6 linked regions of the Ovis aries genome follow. The protein of the gene in region 2 purifies or fractionates together with the protein of the main gene of each other region. This does not show direct contact. Links are inferred from orthologs where the notes say so. Each region holds a gene or a part of one and is shown on either strand. Other genes may lie near its edges. The genes, in order: NIPBL, SMC3, USP13, PDS5B, WAPL and REC8.

Region 1 (3,500 bases), on a different chromosome or scaffold from region 2:
AATTAACTCTGAGTTGACATTAATGTCTATAGCTTATACTCTGGTTTTACCTGTGTGAAACGCCAAATATATGGTTTAGATTATATATCTAAGCAGAAAACAAAGATGAGAATAACCTGTGTTCTGAGAGTGTAGTGAAATGGATATATTCAGAATGGTTTTATTTAGTTGCATCTGAGGTGTAGATTTTTCTTCTTTAAATTTTCAATTTTATATTGGAGTATAGCTGATTTAACAGTATTGTGGCAAGGTCAGGGAGACAGCAAAAGGACTCAGCCTACATATAAACGTATCCATTTCTGCCCAAACTACCCTTCCATATAGGCTGCCACATTAACACTGAGCAGAAGTTTCTGTAGTACACAGTGGGGCTTTGTTGGTTATCCATTTTAAATATAGTTGTGTATACCTGACTCAGTAATTCTTGGGAGACTCCTGAGAATCTGCATTTCTAACAAGTTCCTAGGTAATATAAAAGTTGGTGCTGCTTGTCCAGGGAATCACATTTTGAAATTCTAGGGTAATGGTGACATCCTGTCTGCTCAAAATGCTTCAGAAGAAAATAAAAATGAATATACAAACACATATGTATGTATATTCTAAAAGAGAATAATAAAGCAAATGCTAACCACTAAAGAAATCTGGATGAAAGATTTGTGGGAGCTTTTTGTGCTATGCTTAAAACTTTTCTGTAAGTTAGAGGCATTTGTCATGGCCAGCATGGATATGGTTATGGACATTAAAAAAATAAAAAAGAGTATAAAGAAAATGAAAAAAGCTTTACATGGTAGGATTACAGATCATTTGGGCTACTTGGTGGCTGAGATGATAAAGAATCCTCCTACAGTGTGGGAGACCTGGGTTCGATCCCTGGCTTAGGAAGATCCCCTGGAAGGGGGCATGGCAACCCACTCCAGTATTCGTGCCTGGAGAATCCTCATGAACACAGCAGCCTGGCGGGCTACAGTCCATAGGGTCACAAGTTGGATACGACTGAGTGACTAAGCCTACACATATCATTTACCTGTCAATTTTCTTAAGTTATCTTAGTATTACTATCAACTCCTCCACAATTTAAAATAAAAGTATTGTTAAACCAAATAGAAACTAGTATCATACATTCATAACAGAAGTTCACACACACACACAAAACTTAACTAAGGATTATATAAATCATTTGAAAGTTCCTGTTATACAGAATTCATCCTAAGGTATATATTTTCTCTGTGGCACTTTCACATGATTTTATTCTGAATCTACAGAATGAAATCCAACACTAACGTAAGAATACCTTAAAAAGTTCTTAACTATTTATGACTTATCCCCATAACATAAATTCTTTATCTCAATACCTGTTTTAAAATTCGTTCTATAGACCCTTGATCCATTTTGCTTGTAACAGCATCTTTCCTCAGTCGTGCAGCAACAGTTCCAAGGTAATCAAGAGATGCCACTCTTAAAGCCATCTCTGTTGACTTGTTACTGAACTGATGAACCTGCATATGAAAAATAATTTTAACTTAAAATATTTTTAATAGCAGTTTATATAAATTCCATATCTATGCTGTTTTACTTGAAATTTAAACATTTTTTCCCCGTCATATTGTCCCACAAAGTAATTACCCTTTAAAAATTTTTTGTTTTATTTTTTTGGCCGCATCCTGCACCTTGCAGGATCTCAGTTCCCTGACCATTGACTAAACGTGGGCCATGGCAGTAAAACCCAGAATATTAACCACTAGGCCACCATGGAACTCCCATTAATTGCCTTTTGAGTTTCCAGAATTTTAACATTTTCATTAAAAAGAAAAAAAAATTATAACTAAGTCTTCCTAAGAACACAGTCACTTTCTTTAAATGTAGGCTCAACTGTATAAAATGGGATTATAACTAAGAACTTCTTAGACTGGAATTTCAAAGTCTATTAAAAATATCTTGGTTTCAGAATAGTATTAATGTATTTTCCAACTGACAGAAAGTAAGGTTCCCAAAGCTCTGTAACAACTACACGAGTCCAAATGTAATTTAAAAATAAAAATCACAACAGCAGTTCCTTGTATTTATTTCCCTTACGGTATTACATGAGGACTAAAATGTGTCACGTTTTTAGAAGTCCTCTTAAAGATGACAGAGTTCATATTAATCAGTTTCATGCTTTGAAATGAATTAACTATAATAACATGACTCTGTGTTGAGATGCTTTTAACTAATAATACTTTCAAACAAATAAAATAAGTTTTTTAAAGCACTGTTATCTTATGTAATGAAATGAAAGCACCAAAAGTCACAACATTTCAAAATTTTATACAAGGTACCGACAGTATTATGTACAGTAATACATGCAAAAATAGAGATGCAATGGTCATATTTCCTTACACATTTTTAAAGAATTCATCATCTGTGAATCAGAGTACATCCTCATTATGTTGTCTTCTAGTAATCTAATAATCTTTAAATGCTATACTCTTACCAACAGTCTCCCTAACAAACTAAGGAGTAGTTCAGCAGCTGGCCATTCAGGCTTATTGACTGTTGAAAGAAGGTCTTGAACAAAATTTTCAAATAGTGGTCTGTAATCTTCTTCACCTTGCTTACTACCACATCTGTTCAAAGATAAATAATGAAAAAGCTGTGAGTTTAGGTGACATGTTCACCAATATGACTGAAATTCTGTTAACTAAGTTTCTCGACTTATATATCTAAACAAGGTGTAACAGAGCACATTAAATAAAATATGGTTTAAAATGAATCTATTTCTCAAGCTTCATTTTCCCCCCTACTACAGGAAATTAAATTCATTTACTGACTAATATTAACATTACTTTCTGGCAAGCATAATACACTTTAAATAATGATCACTGTTTTTCTATGAGATTACTATAAGTTCTTCTGAAAACTAAGTAAACCTCTATCCCTAAACTTTCCTGTTCAACCAGAACGTCTGAAAATTCAATGAAAAATTAAAGAATTTCAATCTTGTACTTTAGCTTCTAGAGTTCAACACACAAGAAAGTTCATGAAACTTTAGATTTTATAATATTCCAACCGCCTCATTTTAAAAGATAAGGATATCAGGAGTCAGGGAGATATAGTCAGGGTTTAGACTATGGAAGGAAGTTCAATTAATCTTTTACATAAAAGAAAACTATTCTCTCCATGGGGAAAAGAAAAATCAGATTATGTTAATTTTACTCACTTTTTAAGGAAGATGGAAAGGAAGTTTTGGGCTGTCCGCATGGCTGTTTCATAAGAATTGGTAATGACAACATCTTGGTCAACCTAGATTGAGAAAAATGGATGGACATAAGAAATAACCAACAAACAAATTATTTCAGTTGCTACTACCATGTTATTACTGACTATAAGGGCAACACAATTAAACACTAAAACTTTATGAACTTCCCTGGTGGTACAGTGGATAAGAATCTGCCTGTCAATGTAGGGGACACAGGTTCAATCCCTGATCTGGAAAGATCCCACATGCCACGAAGCCTGTGCAC
Region 2 (3,500 bases):
TGCAGTAAGTTATTACATTGATACAATATTACATTATTATATAAAAATGGAAATATTTTAAATTACTATAGTCATTTTAGATTTGTATGATATCACTTAAAGTTAACTGTAAAGTCCAAGTACATGTTGCTGACTCATAAAAAATATATTTTAAATTTATTTAATCTATATGACACTCACTGACATGGCAAAAAATCTTTAAAAAAAGAACCACCATATGTATATTAAACTGTGCTGGTCTTATCTAATTAAGTATCTGTCTTGTGTATTTTATGATAAACTATTTACAAATAAAACTTAAACAGATAAACCTGCATATGTTCACACTCAAAGATTTCACAAAGCAGCTACAGAAGTTCTTACATTATACTGCTCCAGATTTTTCTCTTTATTTGCCTCAGTGTCCTCCAAATCCTTGTGTATAGCGGCAATCTGTCTTTTCTTGTCGTTAATAGCTTGATCTAAAGACTTGAGTTCCTTTTTAATCCACTTATCCCTTTCTTCTTTTGATGTAAACTGGCTTCCTCGACCCTGCTTTGCATAAAGGTCGGTTCTTTCCTGGGTAGCTTGGGCCAATCTACACAAGACAGAAAAGAATGGATTAAAAAGGAGAACAGGAAATAACCAAGTTTAATTGCAATCAATACCTCAAGAGTACAGAGAGACAATAACCATTTTTGTAATTCCATACAAGAAGGAAAGAAGGAGAATTCCCTGGTGGTCCAGTGTTTAGGACTGTGTGCTCTCACTGCCGAGGGCCTGGGTTTGACAGCCAGGGCACTAAGACCCCACAACCCACATGGGGAAAAAAAAAAGGAATTAAGTATAAAAAGCAACTATTATCTAATAGTGCTTCTAGGACTAGCTCTATTTAACATTAATTTAACTTCAAAATCACTGTGAAATTCAGGTAAAACAGCCCATCCTCTAAGGATTTAAGGTCCTTCCTGGTCTGGGTTAATCACTAAACCTAGACAAATCTAGCACCCTACCTCAGGATTTTCAAAAATGCTCCAACTATATTTAATTATTTAAACATTTTCAACACCTTACAATGAAAGACATTATAAAAGTTAAAAGGCAAGAGAAAACACATAAAACATACAGGACAAATATTAACCCCCAGATAACATAAAACAATACTATCGAACAGTAAGAAAAAATAAAATCAGGAAAAAAATGGACAAAGGATATAAACAGGAATTTCATTAAAATGAACATGAGGCATAAAAACACGATAATGTACTAAATTGTGAAGTCGGCAAACACTGGCAAGTCCAATCTACAGACAGAAACTAAAACGTATAGATGTTAAAAGATGTCAAGTATGAAAAGAAGGTGGCAGAATGAACACACAGCAGGATACAATTTGGGTAAACAAAGTCCAAATTTTAGCTATATTATTATGGGCAAGTTACTGAACTTCCCAGAGCCTTAAATTTGTCAAACTTATAGTGAAGATACTGTGGATCACCTAGGGCTTCTAAATAGGCAATATGCATACACTAATACTGGCCCACAGTACTGGCTGTTACTTTGAAATGGGCATTTAACTTTGCCCTTAATTACTAACTTCCTAACCTATAATTCTTTATATAATAAGGTTCTATAGAGGAACCACACAGAAAATTAGAATTGGTGAAAAAAGTCCCAGACCTAGCAATTCCTCGCTCTTCTTTTTCTTTTACACTGTTGAATTTAGGTTCTGTTTCTGCCAGTTCTTTCTGCTTTTCTTCTATTTTTTCAAGCAGCTTCTGCCTTTCTTTTAATAAGCGTTTCTGTAAATAAAGCAAGATAAGTAAAAATGTAATCTGTTTAAAAACTTTTCTTATTTTTAAATCCAGCATAGGATATTTTCTCATGAAAAGAATTTATGAGAAAACTGATCCTGCAACATAAAACTAATTTTTAAATGTAAGTAACTGAAAGTACTCAGTTGCAACTTGAATGCAAATTAATTTTAATGTGCCAAATTTTTTACAAAAATTCAAGCATGTACCCCTGTCACAGAAAGGACTGTCCTTCAAGCATGCACCCCTGTCACAGAAAGGATTGTCCTCTGCAGTTTCCAATCACCTGAACATTTATGTCTTTCATTTTCAGCATTTTAACTTACCCTCTGTTCACTATTGCCTGCCAATTCATCTTGTAAATCCTTGGCTTTAAGCTCCAATTTAGTTCTCTGCTTAATTTGTTCCTGTCTTTCAGCACTGAGCTGTTCCTTTTCTTCTTTCATAGCTGAAATTTTTGTTTTCAGTTCTCTAACTTGGCGCTCAATATCCTATTCAAAAAGTATCAAATAGAAACAAATTAGACAACTAGAAATACAAAAGCAAAATCAGGACATCATTGGTTTGTCTCTTCTTTTTCTCTTATTTAAACTTTCAGTACTACTCTCTTTCCAATACTCAATCCCAGTGACACCACTACTTGAAGTTACCATTCCATAATTCTGGTACAGAAAGGTTAACTTAGAAGTTAACCTAAGTCTAGTTTATAACCTTACCTCCATCTTATCTCTTGCATCCTGCTGAGCATCTCTTAATTGTCTGGATTTTTCTCCACTTGTCTCTCGCTTAGCAGAAAGCTGGAAAAAAAACCAAGCTATGATTTCCAACCCATTTTGGATTTGTTCAATATTTTATAACATCTAGTAAAAATCTTTAAGTATCTGCTAAAACAAGCATTCACTTAAAAAAAAATTTCCCCCAAAATAACTGTATTGGGTTTAAATAGAAAATGCCTATAGTTTTCAGCATTACCTAAAACAAGTTTTTGTACAAAATGTTAGCAATACTAATTACAAAATACACCTTAAAAAGCCAAGAAAGAAATTCGTGAAACCCTAAAAGTTGTTTTCTTCTCATCCTGGTCTGCCTGACACCACCACCTAATTATATTTCAGATGCAACTACAGCAAGGACCATGTGAGTCATTTTCCTTGGAGTAGACTCAAAGAGTAAATGTGCTGAGTAATAAATTCACTAAGAAATTTTAACATTTTTGAGGTATGTATTTAAAAATCATTGAAAAGTATAAATACAGTATGAGTTTAATATATTCATAAAAATAAAATTAAACAAGTGGCAAAGGTAAGTATTTTACCTCATCAAGTTTAGCACGAGTCTCGTTAAGTTCCTGATTGTAAATGGTATATTCCAGGGCTCGTCTCATCTTATCCCACTTTTGATACTGAGCTAGTTCTTCCTTTTCTTCCTCTAAGGTATGTAATCTCTCTTCAATGTATTTTAACAACTCATTGATTTTTTCCCGTTTTCCCTCTTAAAAAAAAATGGGAGAAGGATGAAGGAGTTGAATAAAACTTTTAGGCAGTATCAATTCTCAAATATACTGTGTAAAACTTAATCTTAAGCACTTTAGCATTACTTCTTTGACATTAGGTGGTAACCAAATCTAAGATACTAAAATGGCAATTAAAATGCTTTATTATGGAAAGTATGAGAGAATAAACTTATACATGGTGACACTGATTCTTATAT
Region 3 (3,996 bases), on a different chromosome or scaffold from region 2:
GTTTTCTACAGTGGCTCTGCCAACTTATATTCCCACCAACAGTGCAGGAGAGGTCCCTTTTCTCCACACCCTCTCCAGCATTTGTGTTTGTAGACTTTTTAATGATGGTCATTCTGACCCTCTGTGAAGGGGTACCTCATTGTAGTCTTGATTTGCATAAAAATCAGTGTATTGAGTCACTTTTTCTGTTTCACTAACTGGTCGGTGTCACTGGTATCCTGCTCCTTAGATTAGATGTAGTTAGAGAAGCTCAGTGGAACTGACCTCATGTTCTGAGTTTCTTTCTTTCTTCTTTTTTTTTTTAAAGAAAATAAGAGTATGCTGTGACAAATTTTCTGTTTTTGCAGATTATTAAATCACCTCCCACCCCAACCTATTCCCATTTATTATTTAAGGAACTGGACATGCAAAGGCAGGGAGGAAGTATGTATGCAGTAAGATCCCAAATCAGTCAACTGAAATGGTTCATGCAGAGAAGACTTTCCAAAGATAGAGAAAAATATACCTTCCCCCAAATAATCCTGATACTCTCCCCCACTCGGAAGAAAAGTCAGTATTACTGGAAAAATATACATTTATCCTTACTTAATCTTACTCTATTCTCTTTCAAAGAGCTTTAGATCTTAAAAACTTGAGGAGCAAGTCTTAGATTAACATCGGAGTGCCAAAAACAAATTTAGATTTGGGCCCCACTTTAGGTTCTAGAGTCCCACCCCTATCCAATCAGGGTACGTCCCCGCTGTTACCCTGGTTGTTTAAAAGCTAGCGGTTTAAAAAATCTCAAATCCTGCCCTTTGTTGGCTGCCTCGGAGGTTCCCCTTCGCAGAGCAGCGATTTAGGATAGAAAACACGGCGGTGGTGCTCCACCGCAGCCGGCCCCGGAGCCTGCGCACCCAGGACTCGCCCTCCGCCTCGGCCGCCAAGCCCGGCCAGGGCCCCAGGCCCCTCTCCAGTGCCCCCTCCCCGCGCGCTGCGGCGGGTGCTCCCGAGCGCCCCGCCTGACGCTGCAGCTGGGCCGGCGATTCGCCATTGGATTAAAAATAGCAGCGTCCCCTTCAGCAGCCAGCCCGCCCGCCAGCCCAGGCCCGGGGTGCCCGCTCCCGCCCCGCGGCCGGCTCTCCCCGCCCGTCCCGGCTCGGCTCCAGCAGCCCGCGCAGCCCGCCGCCGCCGCCGCCGCCGCCGCCGCGGAGGTGGGCAGACCCAGCGCCCCGCTCGGCTCGGCTCGAGTGCGCGCCGCGGCCATGCAGCGCCGGGGCGCCCTGTTCGGCGTGCCGGGCGGCAGCGGCAGCAGGAAGATGGCTGCAGGAGACATCGGCGAGCTGCTCGTGCCCCACATGCCCACGATCCGCGTGCCCCGGTCCGGGGACAGGGTCTACAAGAACGAGTGCGCCTTCTCCTACGACTCCCCGGTAAGTGAGACCCGGCGGCAGGACGGCGTCTCGCGGGAGGCTGCGGTGCCCGCGGCCTGCGGCCGTCGCGAGTCGCCGAACTCGGCCGCACGTGAAGCGCGGTGGGGGGGGGGGGGGGGGGAGATGCGCGGCGGCAGCCGGGGGCCGGCTCCTCCGGGCCTCAGAGTTGCCTCAGGGGCACGGCAGTTGGGCAAACACTGGAGGAGTGCCTGCTGGGTGCCCGGCGGCGCAGGCTTCCCCAGGGCTGCTGCAGCCGAAGCCCGGGACGGCCGGGGTCGTTTGCTCCGCCGCCTTCTTAGGCTGCCAGGACCCCAGTTCCTAGCAGCGGTTCCAAAGCCCCGCCGCCGTTTGAGAGAGAGAGCGAGTCGAAGCGTTCCCTAATCTTAACTGTGCGTTGCAGATGGTTTGCGTCCTCTTTGGGAGGAGCACGGAGGGCAGGTGGGCGGACGAGGTTGATTCACTCCGGATGTACGCAGCCCTTCTCTTTCTGGGACCGTTCGCTTTGCCCAGGGATTCCCACTCCTGGACAGTTCTGCTTTCCTCTCTGAGCTTTCCTCTCTCCACTTTAAATTACTCCCCACTCCTTTTCTTTCCGTCAGAACATCGGAAGAAACCGTCGGCTGCTTCCACTGGGGCAGCAGAAATAGAGGGTCTGCTGGATTGTTAACGGTTTCCTGAATCCTTTCTCTTTCCCTCCTAAACGAGTCGCTTTGACTGAAATGCACCAGTATAAATGATTAAAAGTTCAATCGCTAGTCGTGACCTCAGAGACTGGCGGGGAAAGTCGAGACGCACCACCGCCTTTCACCCGGCGCTGTTGGTGTGTTTTCCACCAGGTTGTATGTGTATGTGTGAGAAGGAAAAAGGAGGGTGGATTGTCCTTTTCGGGAGTCAAAATGGGCTTCAAAGTGACTCAGCTGTCTGGCGTTTATCATGTCTTTTTGAGGACCAGGTTATTTTTATCCACCCACTTTAGAGCTCATGTGTCACTCGGCAGATCTCGATGCAAAAGGGAGGTTTCTGGATTGGAGGCACCGAGGCAGGTTTCACAACAATAGTCTAACACAGTTTATTCATATTATGTTTTGTTGGAGGGGGAAAAAAAGCCAGATAAATGGCACCTGTTCCAAAGTATCCTTATTATCTTGAGTTGCTTTCAGCTGATTTCCAAAGCTTTTTTGTTTTGTACACAGTGGAGTTGCAGAACTTATCCTTTCTGCGCTATTTTTCTTTTATGCTAATAACAGATCGTTTGGGAGATAAAAGTCTCATTTATTTGCTCATTACTTTCTTTTCTTTTAAAAAGGTGTGCAGTGTGAAGTGAAATGGCTATATTTATTACTTAGCGGCTTGTAATCACAACTTAATGTGTCTGTCAGCAGTGTCATTGTATCCACAAAGTATCTGAAAACGTCATGTCCAGATTTTGTGTCTAGTGTTGAGCAGGTTTCCACTAATAGCTTCTAAAGCTGGAGAGGAATGATCCTACTTAACTTAAGCAATCGAAGATTGTGAATGCCATTGGGAGAGTAGCCCAAGTATTTTAGGATAATACATCATGTAAAGTGGGTAAAACTGCTTTCTCTTTGTTTAACCTGGGTTACTCTTCAGATTCTTCTTGCAAACTTTGTTATTGAAAGTCTTTGCCGTGTTTTATAGTGTATGGTAGGAGTGAAGAAAAAAAGCTGATTATTTTACTCACTTTCACAAATAGTTATTGGAAGGTTCAGTTCAGTTCAGTTCAGTCGCTCAGTCGTGTCCGACTCTCTGCAACCCCATGAATCGCAGCACGCCAGGCCTCCCTGTCCATCACCAACACCCGGAGTTCACTCAGACTCACATCCATCGAGTCCGTGATGCCATCCAGCCATCTCATCCTCTCTCGTCCCCTTCTCCTCCTGCCCTCAATCCCTCCCAGCATCAGAGTCTTTTCCAGTGAGTCAACTCTTCACATGAGGTGGCCAAAGTACTGGAGTTTCAGCTTCAGCATCATTCCTTCCAAAGAAATCCCAGGGCTGATCTTCAGAATGGACTGGTTGGATCTCCTTGCAGTCCAAGGGACTCTCAAGAGTCTTCTCCAACACCACAGTTCAAAAGCATCAGTTCTTTGGTGCTCAGCTTAGTGTGTGCCAAACACTATTCTAGAAGTATTTTGTCCAGTGTAAACTGATTTCATTCATGTCACAGTAGTTCCTTGGGGAAGACTGGGCTTGTTTACAAGGCTGATGAATCAGTATATTTCTTTATGTTTCAAGGGAGGAAGAGCGAGAAGATTTTATAACAAGTTATATTAAAGTACAGTGCATGATAATTCAAGATCTTTCCCTATGGTACTTATTTAACACTTCATCATGAATCTCATAAGGGTTCTAGAGCACCTACTATGTGCCAGCTGTTACATTCATGGCTATAAGAACCATACAGAGCAAAATTCATTGGTGCCAAATAGCAGACTTTAATCCACAAGTGCAGTAGGACTGTGGTAGAGAAAGGACCAAAATCATCTGAGTGGAAACAATAGCCATCCTTGCATTGGATACTTTTGAAAATGGTCATAAATAAGGATGGTTAGAAATAAATAAAACAA
Region 4 (3,500 bases), on a different chromosome or scaffold from region 2:
GGGAAAATAGATTTATTTTACAGCAATAACTGTTACAGTGAAATTAGAGGGATCTAAACATAATCTTAAAAAGAAGTAGGAGGAACCTATATGGAGAAAACATTAAAACTGAGAAATATAGGAGAGAGAGAGGACATGCCATATTCTTTCATGGGATAAATGAATTTTTAAAAAATGACAGTTCTGAGTGAAAATATCATTGTAAAATCCCAGTGTGATTTTAAGTCCACGGTGAAGAATGTTGTTTAGCTGCCAAGTTGTGTCCAACTCTTTGTGACACCATGGCCTATAGCCCCACCTTCCCCCCACACCCCCTCCGCCCAGTCTCCTCTGTCCGTGGGATTTCCCAGGATTTCCAATATTCCCAAGAATACTGGAGTGGGTTTTCCTTTCCTTCTCGGGATCTTCCCAGACTAGATATCAAACCTGTGTCTTCCTGCATTAGCAGGTGTATTTTACCACTGAGTCACCAAGGAAGCTCAAGGTAGAATAAATGGATGCAAAGAAGGAGTAATGATAAAATCAGCCCAACCAAACACAAACATACTTAGTTATAATTAGTAAAATACCATGCTTTTGTTGCATAGTATTTTACTAATACCTAGAAGCATTACTGTCTTTGAAAAATAATACAAAGTAAAGGAAGCATAATACATCATTGAAGTGATTAGATGTGTCTTTGGCAGTGGGAGTAGGTAAAACAGTTTAGAACCTCAACTCACATCCTATTCTAAAACAAGATATGATAATGTGTTAGTCTGTTCATAACAATACACCATAGACTGGAAGGTTTGAACAACACAAATTTTCTCATATTTCTGGAGGTTGGAATGTCCAAGATCAAAGTGTGGGCCAGTCCAGTTGCTGATGGGATCTCTGTTCCTGGTTTGCAGATGGCTACCCTGGGTTCGATCCCTGGGTTGGGAAGACCCTCTGAAGTAGGAAATGGCAACCCACTCCAGTATTCCTGCCTGGAAAATGACATGGACAGACCAGTGTGGCGGGTTACTGTCCATGTGGTCACAATGAGTTGGGCATGACTGAAGACACGTACACACACCCTCACACACCCTCCCTTCTTACTGTGTTCTTACCAGTGGTAAGAGGATATGAGTTTGGGCAAACTCCTGGAGATGGTGAAGGACAGGGAATCCCAGTGTGCTGCTTTTCACAGGGTCACAAAGAGTCGGACATGACTGAGCAACTGAACAACAACAAGCTGGTGGAGAGAGAGAGACAGTGAGATCTCTCTGGTGTCTCTTTTCCTAAGGACACTTATCCCATCATGAGGGCCCCACCCTCATGACTTTAGAATTACCTCCCAAAGACCCCATATCCAAAGAATATCAGAATACTTCAGCTTGTGAATTTTGTGGGAACACAATTCAGTTCACAACAAACAGGAATATTTGTTTGTTATACACGAAATACACATGAAAGTGTAGAATATTGTAGATTAAAACTCAGACTCCAGTAAACAGACAAGGGGCATAATTAGGCAGTTCACAGATAGGAAACACAAATGACTAATTAAACGTGAAGAATTATAAGTAATCTGATAATTTTTGTAGTCACTGATGTTTTAAGAATGTAAATTGGAACAAACCATTTGGAAATTAACTTAGTACTACAAACATGGCTCAGATGGTAAAGTGTCTGTCTACGATGCAGGAGACCCGGGTTCGATCCCTGGGTCAGGAAGATCCACTGGAGAAGGTAATGGCAACCCACTCCAGTACTATTGCCTGGAAAATCCCATGAACAGGGTAGCCTGGTAGGCTACAGTCCATGGGGTCGCAAAGAGTCGAACACGACTGAGCAACTTCACTTCACTTCTTCAAACCTATGGAGAAAATTACAAAGTCATGCATACTCTTCCTTGTTTCTTTGAAGAATTTCTTTAAAGAATCGCCATCTACGAGTCAAGGCTTAAATTCTGTGACTGTAGACTGGGATTTTATGTTAAATTTGGAAGTCACTGATTTTTGTATTGTTGTATCTGGGAAAAAGCAATATCTTTGATTCAGAAATGTTTTCAGAATTTTTAATAAATGATGAATATGTTTAACTTTGTATCTTACAACCTCCACTTTTGAAATAAAATAGTTCTTTTATGATGTGTATGCATTATGCATTACCTAGTTAATATTTATGTCTTATTATATACACTGAGTGGTAAAATTAGGATTACTTAAATTGACTGTCAAATGCAGATGCACTATACTCAGTGTAGTTGTCTATTATTTAAGCATTGAATTTGGCTTTTTTTCTTTTTTTTTAGTAGACCAGATGGATTTTTTTTTAAGAAAATATATTGATTTTATTACTGAAACAGTATAGACATTTGTGAAATATTTGAAAGTAAGTTGCCAATTAAAACTTGGTAGAGACAGCAGATACTAATAAGAACTGCAATTCTTCATAATGAGTACTGAACTATGACTCCTTTTAAGTGTTGAATTTAGAATGTTCTTTTTAATGGACTAGCTCTTCATCAAAAATTTATCATCTATTCATCTACTGAGAGGTTTCATCTGAGGCTCTTTAGCTAGAGTAAGAATAAAAATTTACCCTCTTACCCCCAGATTATGTTTTATATTAGAAAATTGTTAATAAAAGCAAGTAGGTAGTTATGGTTCCGACATGCTTAAAACCTCTAGACCTTATTAGGTACATTCTTATAACTGAAGTAGATAACAGATTTTGTTCATTTGTTTATTCTTGAACATATACACACACACACACACACACAAATAATGTATACTAAGTTTTATATTTGAAATCGTGGCTTTTATTCCTAGTCTGAATTGGACAAACCTAGAAGCCGGAAAAAGACACCTGTAACAGATTCAGAAGAGAAATTAGGCATGGATGACCTTTCCAAGTTGGTACAGGAACAGAAACCTAAAGGCAGTCAGCGTGGACGAAAGAGAGGCCATACAGCTTCAGAGTCAGACGAACAGCAGTGGCCTGAGGAAAAGAGGCTCAAAGAAGATATACTAGAAAATGAGGATGAACAGAACAGTCCACCAAAAAAAGGTAAACGAGGCCGACCACCAAAACCTCTTGGTGGGGGTACACCCAAAGAAGAGCCAACGATGAAAACATCCAAAAAAGGAAGCAAAAAAAAATCTGGACCTTCAACAGCAGAAGAGGAGGAGGAAGAAGAAAGACAAAGTGGAAACACAGAGCAGAAGTCAAAAAGTAAACAGCACCGGCCTTCAAGGAGAGCACAGCAGAGGTAAGTGTGTGCCACTCTGAACTGCATGCATTCAGTTATTGTACTGTAAATCATAACTTGATGCTGTCTGCATCTGGGTCTTTCCCAAAGCAGAGCAGAGTCTCCAGAAACTAGTGCAGTTGAATCCACACAGTCCACACCACAGAAAGGACGAGGAAGACCATCAAAAACACCATCACCATCACAACCCCCCAAAAATGTGTAAGTTGTAAATAATATTAAGTTTCAAACCAGTTTCAAATTATTTTGCAAGAGTTCA
Region 5 (3,500 bases), on a different chromosome or scaffold from region 2:
AGCTATCATTTCCTAAATGACAGTGAGTCAAGAAAGACTGGCGGGTTGGAGGGTTAACATGATCAGATGTGCTCTTAAGGAAGTTAGCTATGGTGGTGGTATGCAGGATTTCAGGAAAGGAGAGTTGAGAAAAGCAAGAACAGAAAGGCCACAGAGAAGACTGACCATTAAAACACACCAGATGCCTACCGGGCAATGGAAAGTGACACCAGGGTCTCCTGGGCTTCCTAGGCATGCTGTGCTTTACCTTAGAACAGCCCTTACTGCACATAACCACCTGATTCTCGTCTTTCCTCCACTTAAACACTGGGCAAACCAATGTCTTTTACATTTTGTGGCATCAGCTAGCTTTTCAGGGTTAATCATAATGACCCCTAAGGTAAGAAAGACATCCTGGGCTCTATAAATTCACAGTATTGTCTACAACCTAACCTCTCGAGACATGAGAGACAAATAATTCACATCTGAAAAAAACTCAATTTTCAGATTACTTAAGAACACAACTGAAACCAGGGTGTATGCAAAATATGTAAAAATCTTTAAATAGCATACCCACTCTTTTTTGGGGGGTGGGGGTGGGGTGTGCTTTCCTCCTCCTTTTTGCTTGGTATGTGCTTCCCATTTGCCCTTAAAATCTCTGAATTTTAAGGAAATAAGGACAAGGGCTGAGCTTGAAGACAGTCCAGGAAAGGAAATAAAGATTTGTGGGGCCTCTAGCACCATGGTAAGAACTCTGGTCTTGATCCTGAAAGCAGTTGTGCCAGCAAGGGCCAGCAACGAAGTGGGCCAGTATGCACTCAGCTCAGAGCCTTTCTACAATATGGAATAAATGAACAAGAAAGATCCAGAAAAACACACTGGACTTAAGACAAATAAGGTACACAGGAAGAACAAAAATGACAATGGATAAAACTTGATGGCAAAAATGAGGAAATGTGGGTGGGCAGACAGAAGCCCTTCATATCATGATTACGTTCTTTTCTTCTAGCCCTCTAGTCTTAAGAAAAGAGAAACTAGCCATCCCACTATACAACAGGTCTCCATTCTTTCTTGCATCCTGAATGCCCTTGCTTGTAGGGGGAAAAAACCCACCTCTCTTTTATTTTAAAATTTCTCTCTTCTACTGGGCCTCTCTGTTAAAAAAATAAATTTAAAAAAATCCCACGTGTCCTCCATTTTAAAGCAGACTGTTCAAACAGTGAGAAATGTCCACTTCTGTGCTGATTCAGCCCAACTGTGTACACATTCACATCCTTTTCGTAAAGTGAAAGTGAAGTCGCTCAGTCGTGTCCAACTCTTTGTGACCCTATGGACTGTAGCCCACCAGGCTCCTCTGTCCATGGGTTTCTCTAGGCAAGGATACTGGAATGGGTTGCCATTTCTTTCTCCAGGGGATCTTCCCAACCCAGGGATCGAACCCAGGTCTCCTGCATTGCAGGCAGACAGTATACCCTCTGAGCCACCAGGGAGAGCCATGATTTTTCATAGTTAACTCATGATCTAAATCTCACATAGTAATCCCATTTTCCTGGCCAATGAGTCATCAAACAAAAGCATGTGAGCCAATCTTGGCCAAGGTAAAGGAAGTCGACTTTCTGCATTGGGTGTGGAAAAGTCCTAGGGAAAAGAAATCATTGCTCTTTAAACAAAGAGAAACAAACAGGCCACATTCTTCTGCTGGGCACTATTTAACTAGGTGAGACACAGAGTCAGCATAGGTGCATGAAGAAAGCTAGCAAAAGACAACACGCAGAGGAGAGCAGAGTTTAAAGGTAGAAATTATGAGTCCTTGGTATCACTGAGGCGAACCTTTTCCACCTTAAGCCAGCTGAGCACAGGTCTCATATGGTGCTTTTACTTCAACCAAAGACATATAAGTTGATTCCTCTATCAATCTGGAACTTTCTCATCGAAACCAATATACTCTTACTTTGAAATGTACCTTCTAAAGTTCACCAAATATTTGAAAGTTTTTAACAGGAGGGAAAAATAAAGTAACAAGTTAATTAAGTAACGATGTGAAGTGGCTGCAGTGAAATTCTTATAGGATAACATAAAACAACACAGAACTCTTACTTACTGGACTCTCCTGGCAGAGACACCCAAGAAGCAGTGCGGTGTATGAGGCCACAATGCAATCCTCCATGTGTTTGCCAGCATGTTGAAGGGCTGAAAGTATTAAAACAGAAAACTAATAGTGCATGTGCATATATATATAAACCAAAAACTACAACAACAAAAGCACCTAGGAAACCAGCAACTGTGTCATCTTTACTTCAAAACTGCTAAACGTTGATAATGGTGCTGCTGCTGCTGCTGCTGCTAAGTCACTTCAGTCATGTCCGACTCTGTGCGACCCCATAGACGGGAGCCCACTAGGCTCCCCCATCCCTGGGATTCTCTAGGCAAGAACACTGGAGTGAGTTTCCATTTCCTTCTCCAATGCATGAAAGTGAAAAGTGAAAGTGAAGTCGCTCAGTCGTGTCCGACTCTTTGCAACCCCATGGACTACAGCCTACCAGGCTCCTCCGCCCATGGGATTTTCCAAGAAAGAATACTGGAGTTGGGTGCCATCGCTTTCTCTGGATAATGGTGCTAGGAAGATGTAATATCCACACAAATTAACCAAAAAAAAAAACAAAAACAAAAACAAAACCCACAAATGGTAGAGGGAGCTTAATATAAAAGCTAAAACCATAAAACCCTTAGAAGAAAACAGAGGACTAAATATTTGTGCCCTTGGGTTAGGAAATGGTTTCTTAGACACACCACCAGGACCACAAAAGACAATATAAAAAATAGGTAAGTTAGACTTTATCAAATCTAAAGCTTCACCTTCAAGAAGACAACTCATAGAATTTATCTGCAAACCAGGTACTTGATAAGAATCGAGGCTCTAAAAATTCTACTCAATAACAACAAAAGATAACCCAATTTAAAATATGGGCAAAATATCAAAACTGTAAACACCCTTAGGAGTCATGTTACTTGGTTGCTTCTCTTCACAGACAGTAAAGAGAGGCCCAGGGAGGAAACACAGACCTTCCAACAGTACATACACGCCACTCTCACCGCTAGGTGAAGACTGCTACCAAACAGCAAAGCCTGTGTGCACTCAACCAGAGAGGCCATAAAACAGCAAGATTATGACCACACATGAAGTAAAAAAATGTTTTACAGGGGAAAAAACACACACACACATCTTTTAAAAAATAAAGCAGTCAAAGAAAACATACCTTTATTGAGGTCGAGTTCTTCATCATCCTCCTCCTTCTTGTTTTTCTCTTCTGCACCATCAGTCTTCTCGGTTGATACCCACTGTATTTCTCCACTTGTTTCTTGCCACTCTCCACTCTTATCATGCTGAGTGGTGGGCGCATCTTTGATCAATTCATCTGTTTTACTTTCTGCCAACTGTGCTGCTCGTTCTCGCTCAAGGAACAGCTGATAAACATTTTTGAAGGTCATTAAAAAGGGATCACCTACCAACATCAATGTAC
Region 6 (3,927 bases), on a different chromosome or scaffold from region 2:
GTGCAGGGTGTGGGCCAGGCTACCTTGTACAAACTTGCACAAAGGCCTGTGGAAGCCAGCAGGGGCCTTGAGGAGACTGAAAATGGGTGAGGAGCTCTGGCAGAGGCAGTGTGGAGGGGCAGCACTCACCTCAGGGCTGACTGGGACGGGTGGCAGACGCAGCTCCAGCGGGGGCGTCACCTCTGCAACAACAGTCTAGGTCCACACCCTTTGCCCTCAGAGCCAACCAGGTGAGAAGCTAGAGGGTCCTCCCTTCAGCAAGCTGGATTACAGGGTGTTGTCTGCAGCAGCTGTGCTGGGACCCCGAGGAAAGACCCCGGTTTAGTGGGTACTCACCAGGAAGTGGGACCTCTGGCTCCCACCCTACCGGCTTCAGCTCCTCCGGGGCCAGGACCTGGCTGGGAAGTGGCTCTGCTGCCTCCTCCACCCTGAAGGGAAATGGGCAAGAGGATGAAAATACCCTCCCAGCGCTGACCCCTACCTGGCCTGGGGCTCCTCCCCTTACCCTACAAGAGCTGAAGGTGAGGGTGGGGGAACTGTGATCTCCCCCTCTGGGGCCCGGGGCTCCTCTCTGAATTCTGCGAAGAGAGGATCAAGCTTAGAACACAGAAGAGGTGTGAACATTGCCCGGCCCAGATGGCCAGCGCCTGGGGTCTGACCGTCCACTGCCAGGTGGGTCCTACCTAGCCGACGTTCCTCTAACAAGATGCCTTCATCCTCCTCAGCAATCAGCAGGTCCAAGACACGGCGGCTGACTTCTGGGAGGTCCAGTTCACCCTGTCAGGAGAGGTGACCATTTCTGTCTGAGAGACATGCCGCAGGGCCAGGCCAGGCTGAGGAAGCCTGTGGGTACTCGGGCATCGGGGGAAGGGGTAGAGAAACGGAGGCAAGAAGGCAGGACTCTAGGGGCAGAAGGAGCAGGTACAGGGGGCCTGGGCCATCAGACGCAGGACTCGGCCTTGGGCTCTGTGTGCAGGGGGCAGCTCACCTCGATCCGCAGCATACGTATGGGCTCCGCCTCCTGGATCGTGATGGCTTCGGGGGTGACCCGAATCCTTTCTGGAGGGGGAGGGAAGTCACACCAGCCTCTGTTTCAAGTCCCCACACCCATGTGTGTAAAGCAAAAACAGACTCTAGAGTCAAGCCAACCTGGGTTCTAGTCAGGCCCTGGCCAGTCACTGGCAGTCTGACCCAAGGCACATTGCTTAACCACTATGGGCTTCACTTTCCTCATCTGTAAAATGGGCATAATAATTCCAATCTCGTAAGAATCTTGTAGTGCCCCTCCCAAGGCCTTGCTCCTGAAAGAAGCTCAAAAACAGTTATTTCTTCAGCCTTTGGGAGTTGGTCTGCCTCTCACCAGAAGGGTCTCTGCTCACCTGGCTCCCGAAGCTCTGCGGGCACTTCAGGAGGGATCTCTTCAGGAACTCTCTCCAGGGTCACGGCCTCTAGAAGGTGTCGAACCTTTGGGAAGGGATGGGAACAAAAGACCAGATTCAGCTTCAGTGCCCTGCTCCCCCACTTTCACAACCTTATCCAGACAATGGACAGTGACACCCCTTTATGCCTAATCCTGTGGCACTAACAGCAGCATGCAGGGTGAACCCACTCACCATCCAGCTCCCCTTCCTCCCATTTCCTGCCCCCGCCCAATCATCTAGCCTGGGTCACTTTGTGAAAGAAGTACTGCATCCTGGGGTCAAGTCTTGTCAGGGACAGAGGAAACTAAAGATCCTTGAGGATACTGTCTAGTGGGGAGACAAGTTTGTGTTTGACCCCAGCAAAAGCCAGCACAAAGAATGCTGTGCTGCTGAAACTAGCACAATGCTGTAAATCAACTACACTTCAACAGAAGCTTGTCTAAGCTGTAGGGGTGTTAGGAGTGGATGGACAGGGACATGGAAAACCCAGTGCCGAGGGACACAGAGGGCCTGGACTGGGGCCTCGGCTCTAGGGATGGTGTGAAGACAAAAGCCACCTCTAGGTTGGTCCTGAATAGGTAAGTGCAGCAGGCTTGTCTGGATAGGCCCACCATGACAGCTGCCCTGCCCTGACTCCTGTGGGGCAGAGCTGGAGCAGGCCCCCACCTGCACCCCTCAACCCTGGTGCTAGACTGGCGCAGAAAGAGCACCCCCCTCTGTACTGTCAGCTCATCAGTCTGAGCTGTCCGACGGGGAGGAGACCTACCTGAGGGATATCAAAGGGATCCGGCAGCATGGGATCCACAGACATCATCCCAAAAAAGGGGTCTGGAGCATCTTCCAGAGTCTCCATTCTGGCCAGGTGGTCAGGCAGCAGCAGGCTGGGTCTGAGGGAGGCAGTGGGCTGTCAAGGACTGAGGCCAAGTTCCCTTCCAAAGACCGGGTGGTCCCAGCCCCAGGGATGCACTCACAGGTCAGTCTCCACCATATCAATGCGGATCTGCAGCTGCGCCCGGTGCAGGCGCTCCAGGATGTGCTGGATGTCTTCTGCGGTGAGGGAGGGCAAGCTACAGTGCCCGCCCAGAGGAGGACCACTCGGCACTGCCCTACATCCAGGCCTTCCAGCCTTACCTACAAGGTACTGGCATTGTTGAGAGTAGACGCGGATGACGCCAATCTGGAGCTGCGCTGAGAGGTAGAGCGAGAAGCGGGGCCGCGGTGCGCCCGGCAGCGGGGGCTGAACTCGCACCAGCACGTAATTGAGGATTTCCTCGCTGGGGGAACAATGCACCCCAACACCGCTGCGCCAAAGACCTACAGCCTTGCCCAGCCCAATGCATCCCCTAACCCACCCCAGCCCTGCGCCACTCTTTCCTGGGTCTTACCAGGTCTTCACCACATTCACCTTCAGGTATTCGCGCTTCACCAACCGGCAGCCCCGCGTCGCTGCCAGCCTGGAAGAAGAATGAGAGGTGTAGATGCAGGGGGAGCCCTCAGGTTGGGACCCCTGGGTGTCCCTCCCAGAGCACCTACCCTGGCCAGGCCCGCCCTTACCAGATGGTGGCGAAGCAGCCGGTGTGGCGCTGAAGCACATTGGGATAATAGAACATGGTCCCTCCAGGGTTTTACCCTCGTCTACACCACTTCTGTTCAGATCTCAATCCAAATTCTTCAGGGTACAGAATTTCCCAAACCGTTGGAGAGAAGGATGTGGACCGGTAGTGTGGACCAGAATGCCAAATACAGGAACCAATGAACTATGGGTGGATAAATGATTAAGGGGATAAGTAAATGGAGACACAGACTGGATACACGTGAGCCCTGAGCCAGTCTGCACACCATGTAGGTGCTTTGAACTTACGGGAGCCTTGCAGGTTGGATTCCAGGTTGGAGATGCAAAGATTCGCGAAGGAAGACCGTCCAAGCTACAACCCAGGCCAGGTCCGAGGGAGAAAGGGTTGTCCTCTGCAGATAGGCCCGGCAGCTGACTGTTGCGCAGCTTCGGCTGCTGCCGGTCCCGCTCCTGCAGCCCAGATCCCGCCGCGGGGAGCGCGTGCTCTGGTGCTTTGCGCTTTACTCCTCATTAGATGGCGCGCTCTCCAGAGCAGCCAATGGGGAACAGGGTCAACTTGGGGGCGCTTGTTCGGGGGCGCTACGTAGCCTAGTCCAGGCAACAGGGGGCTCCCGAGGCAGGCAGCGAACCAATGGGACGAACCCTGCAGGTGGTGGGGGGAGGGGGGAGGGATTGTGAGGGGTCTGGACCAATGGGCTCTCATCCTCGCCGGGTAACAGGGGTACCTCGGGAGTGTTTCCCCATGGACCAATGAGTAGGGCGGAGACTCCGAGCACCGAGCCTGGCAACAAGGTGCTTCAACTAGAGGAGGAGGTTGCGTCATGCCAAGGGCAATCGTCGGGCCCTGTTTAGGGCGCCTGACTTGCAGTTAGACCTTACCCTTTTTCCGAATCCCACAGTGCAGCGAGTGGTTGGTCTACTTTTATGCCCAGC

The links.
Region 1: the proteins of SMC3 (region 2) and NIPBL purify together in Homo sapiens (affinity purification with western blotting; 4 studies listed by BioGRID, with this or other methods). This does not show direct contact. The link is inferred for Ovis aries from reciprocal best matches to the Homo sapiens genes SMC3 and NIPBL.
Region 3: the proteins of SMC3 (region 2) and USP13 purify together in Homo sapiens (affinity purification with mass spectrometry; 4 studies listed by BioGRID and IntAct, with this or other methods). This does not show direct contact. The link is inferred for Ovis aries from reciprocal best matches to the Homo sapiens genes SMC3 and USP13.
Region 4: the proteins of SMC3 (region 2) and PDS5B purify together in Homo sapiens (co-immunoprecipitation; 7 studies listed by BioGRID and IntAct, with this or other methods). This does not show direct contact. The link is inferred for Ovis aries from reciprocal best matches to the Homo sapiens genes SMC3 and PDS5B.
Region 5: the proteins of SMC3 (region 2) and WAPL purify together in Homo sapiens (affinity purification with mass spectrometry; 7 studies listed by BioGRID and IntAct, with this or other methods). This does not show direct contact. The link is inferred for Ovis aries from reciprocal best matches to the Homo sapiens genes SMC3 and WAPL.
Region 6: the proteins of SMC3 (region 2) and REC8 purify together in Homo sapiens (affinity purification with mass spectrometry; 3 studies listed by BioGRID and IntAct, with this or other methods). This does not show direct contact. The link is inferred for Ovis aries from reciprocal best matches to the Homo sapiens genes SMC3 and REC8.

What each region holds. Positions count from the first base shown.
Region 1 is NC_056069.1:37,368,459-37,371,958, forward strand, and holds part of NIPBL (nipped-B-like protein), read right to left. Parts: intron 3,280-3,500; coding exon 3,197-3,279; intron 2,604-3,196; coding exon 2,471-2,603; intron 1,497-2,470; coding exon 1,353-1,496; intron 1-1,352. UniProt on the Homo sapiens protein: Plays an important role in the loading of the cohesin complex on to DNA. Forms a heterodimeric complex (also known as cohesin loading complex) with MAU2/SCC4 which mediates the loading of the cohesin complex onto chromatin.
Region 2 is NC_056075.1:30,667,136-30,670,635, reverse strand, and holds part of SMC3 (structural maintenance of chromosomes protein 3), read right to left. Parts: intron 3,282-3,500; coding exon 3,106-3,281; intron 2,588-3,105; coding exon 2,507-2,587; intron 2,282-2,506; coding exon 2,117-2,281; intron 1,779-2,116; coding exon 1,657-1,778; intron 578-1,656; coding exon 364-577; intron 1-363. UniProt on the Homo sapiens protein: Central component of cohesin, a complex required for chromosome cohesion during the cell cycle. The cohesin complex may form a large proteinaceous ring within which sister chromatids can be trapped.
Region 3 is NC_056054.1:208,250,952-208,254,947, reverse strand, and holds the start of USP13 (ubiquitin carboxyl-terminal hydrolase 13), read left to right. Parts: upstream 1-1,196; 5' UTR 1,197-1,241; coding exon 1,242-1,409; intron 1,410-3,996. UniProt on the Homo sapiens protein: Deubiquitinase that mediates deubiquitination of target proteins such as BECN1, MITF, SKP2 and USP10 and is involved in various processes such as autophagy, endoplasmic reticulum-associated degradation (ERAD), cell cycle progression or DNA damage response.
Region 4 is NC_056063.1:28,619,824-28,623,323, reverse strand, and holds part of PDS5B (sister chromatid cohesion protein PDS5 homolog B), read left to right. Parts: intron 1-2,801; coding exon 2,802-3,241; intron 3,242-3,331; coding exon 3,332-3,442; coding exon of another isoform or gene 3,443-3,446; intron 3,447-3,500. UniProt on the Homo sapiens protein: Regulator of sister chromatid cohesion in mitosis which may stabilize cohesin complex association with chromatin. May couple sister chromatid cohesion during mitosis to DNA replication.
Region 5 is NC_056078.1:40,192,479-40,195,978, forward strand, and holds part of WAPL (wings apart-like protein homolog), read right to left. Parts: intron 3,445-3,500; coding exon 3,237-3,444; intron 2,170-3,236; coding exon 2,081-2,169; intron 1-2,080. UniProt on the Homo sapiens protein: Regulator of sister chromatid cohesion in mitosis which negatively regulates cohesin association with chromatin. Involved in both sister chromatid cohesion during interphase and sister-chromatid resolution during early stages of mitosis.
Region 6 is NC_056060.1:20,795,450-20,799,376, forward strand, and holds the start of REC8 (meiotic recombination protein REC8 homolog), read right to left. Parts: upstream 2,801-3,927; 5' UTR 2,410-2,800; coding exon 2,393-2,409; intron 2,309-2,392; coding exon 2,188-2,308; intron 1,465-2,187; coding exon 1,380-1,464; intron 1,060-1,379; coding exon 989-1,059; intron 778-988; coding exon 506-777; intron 429-505; coding exon 337-428; intron 183-336; coding exon 130-182; intron 1-129. UniProt on the Homo sapiens protein: Required during meiosis for separation of sister chromatids and homologous chromosomes.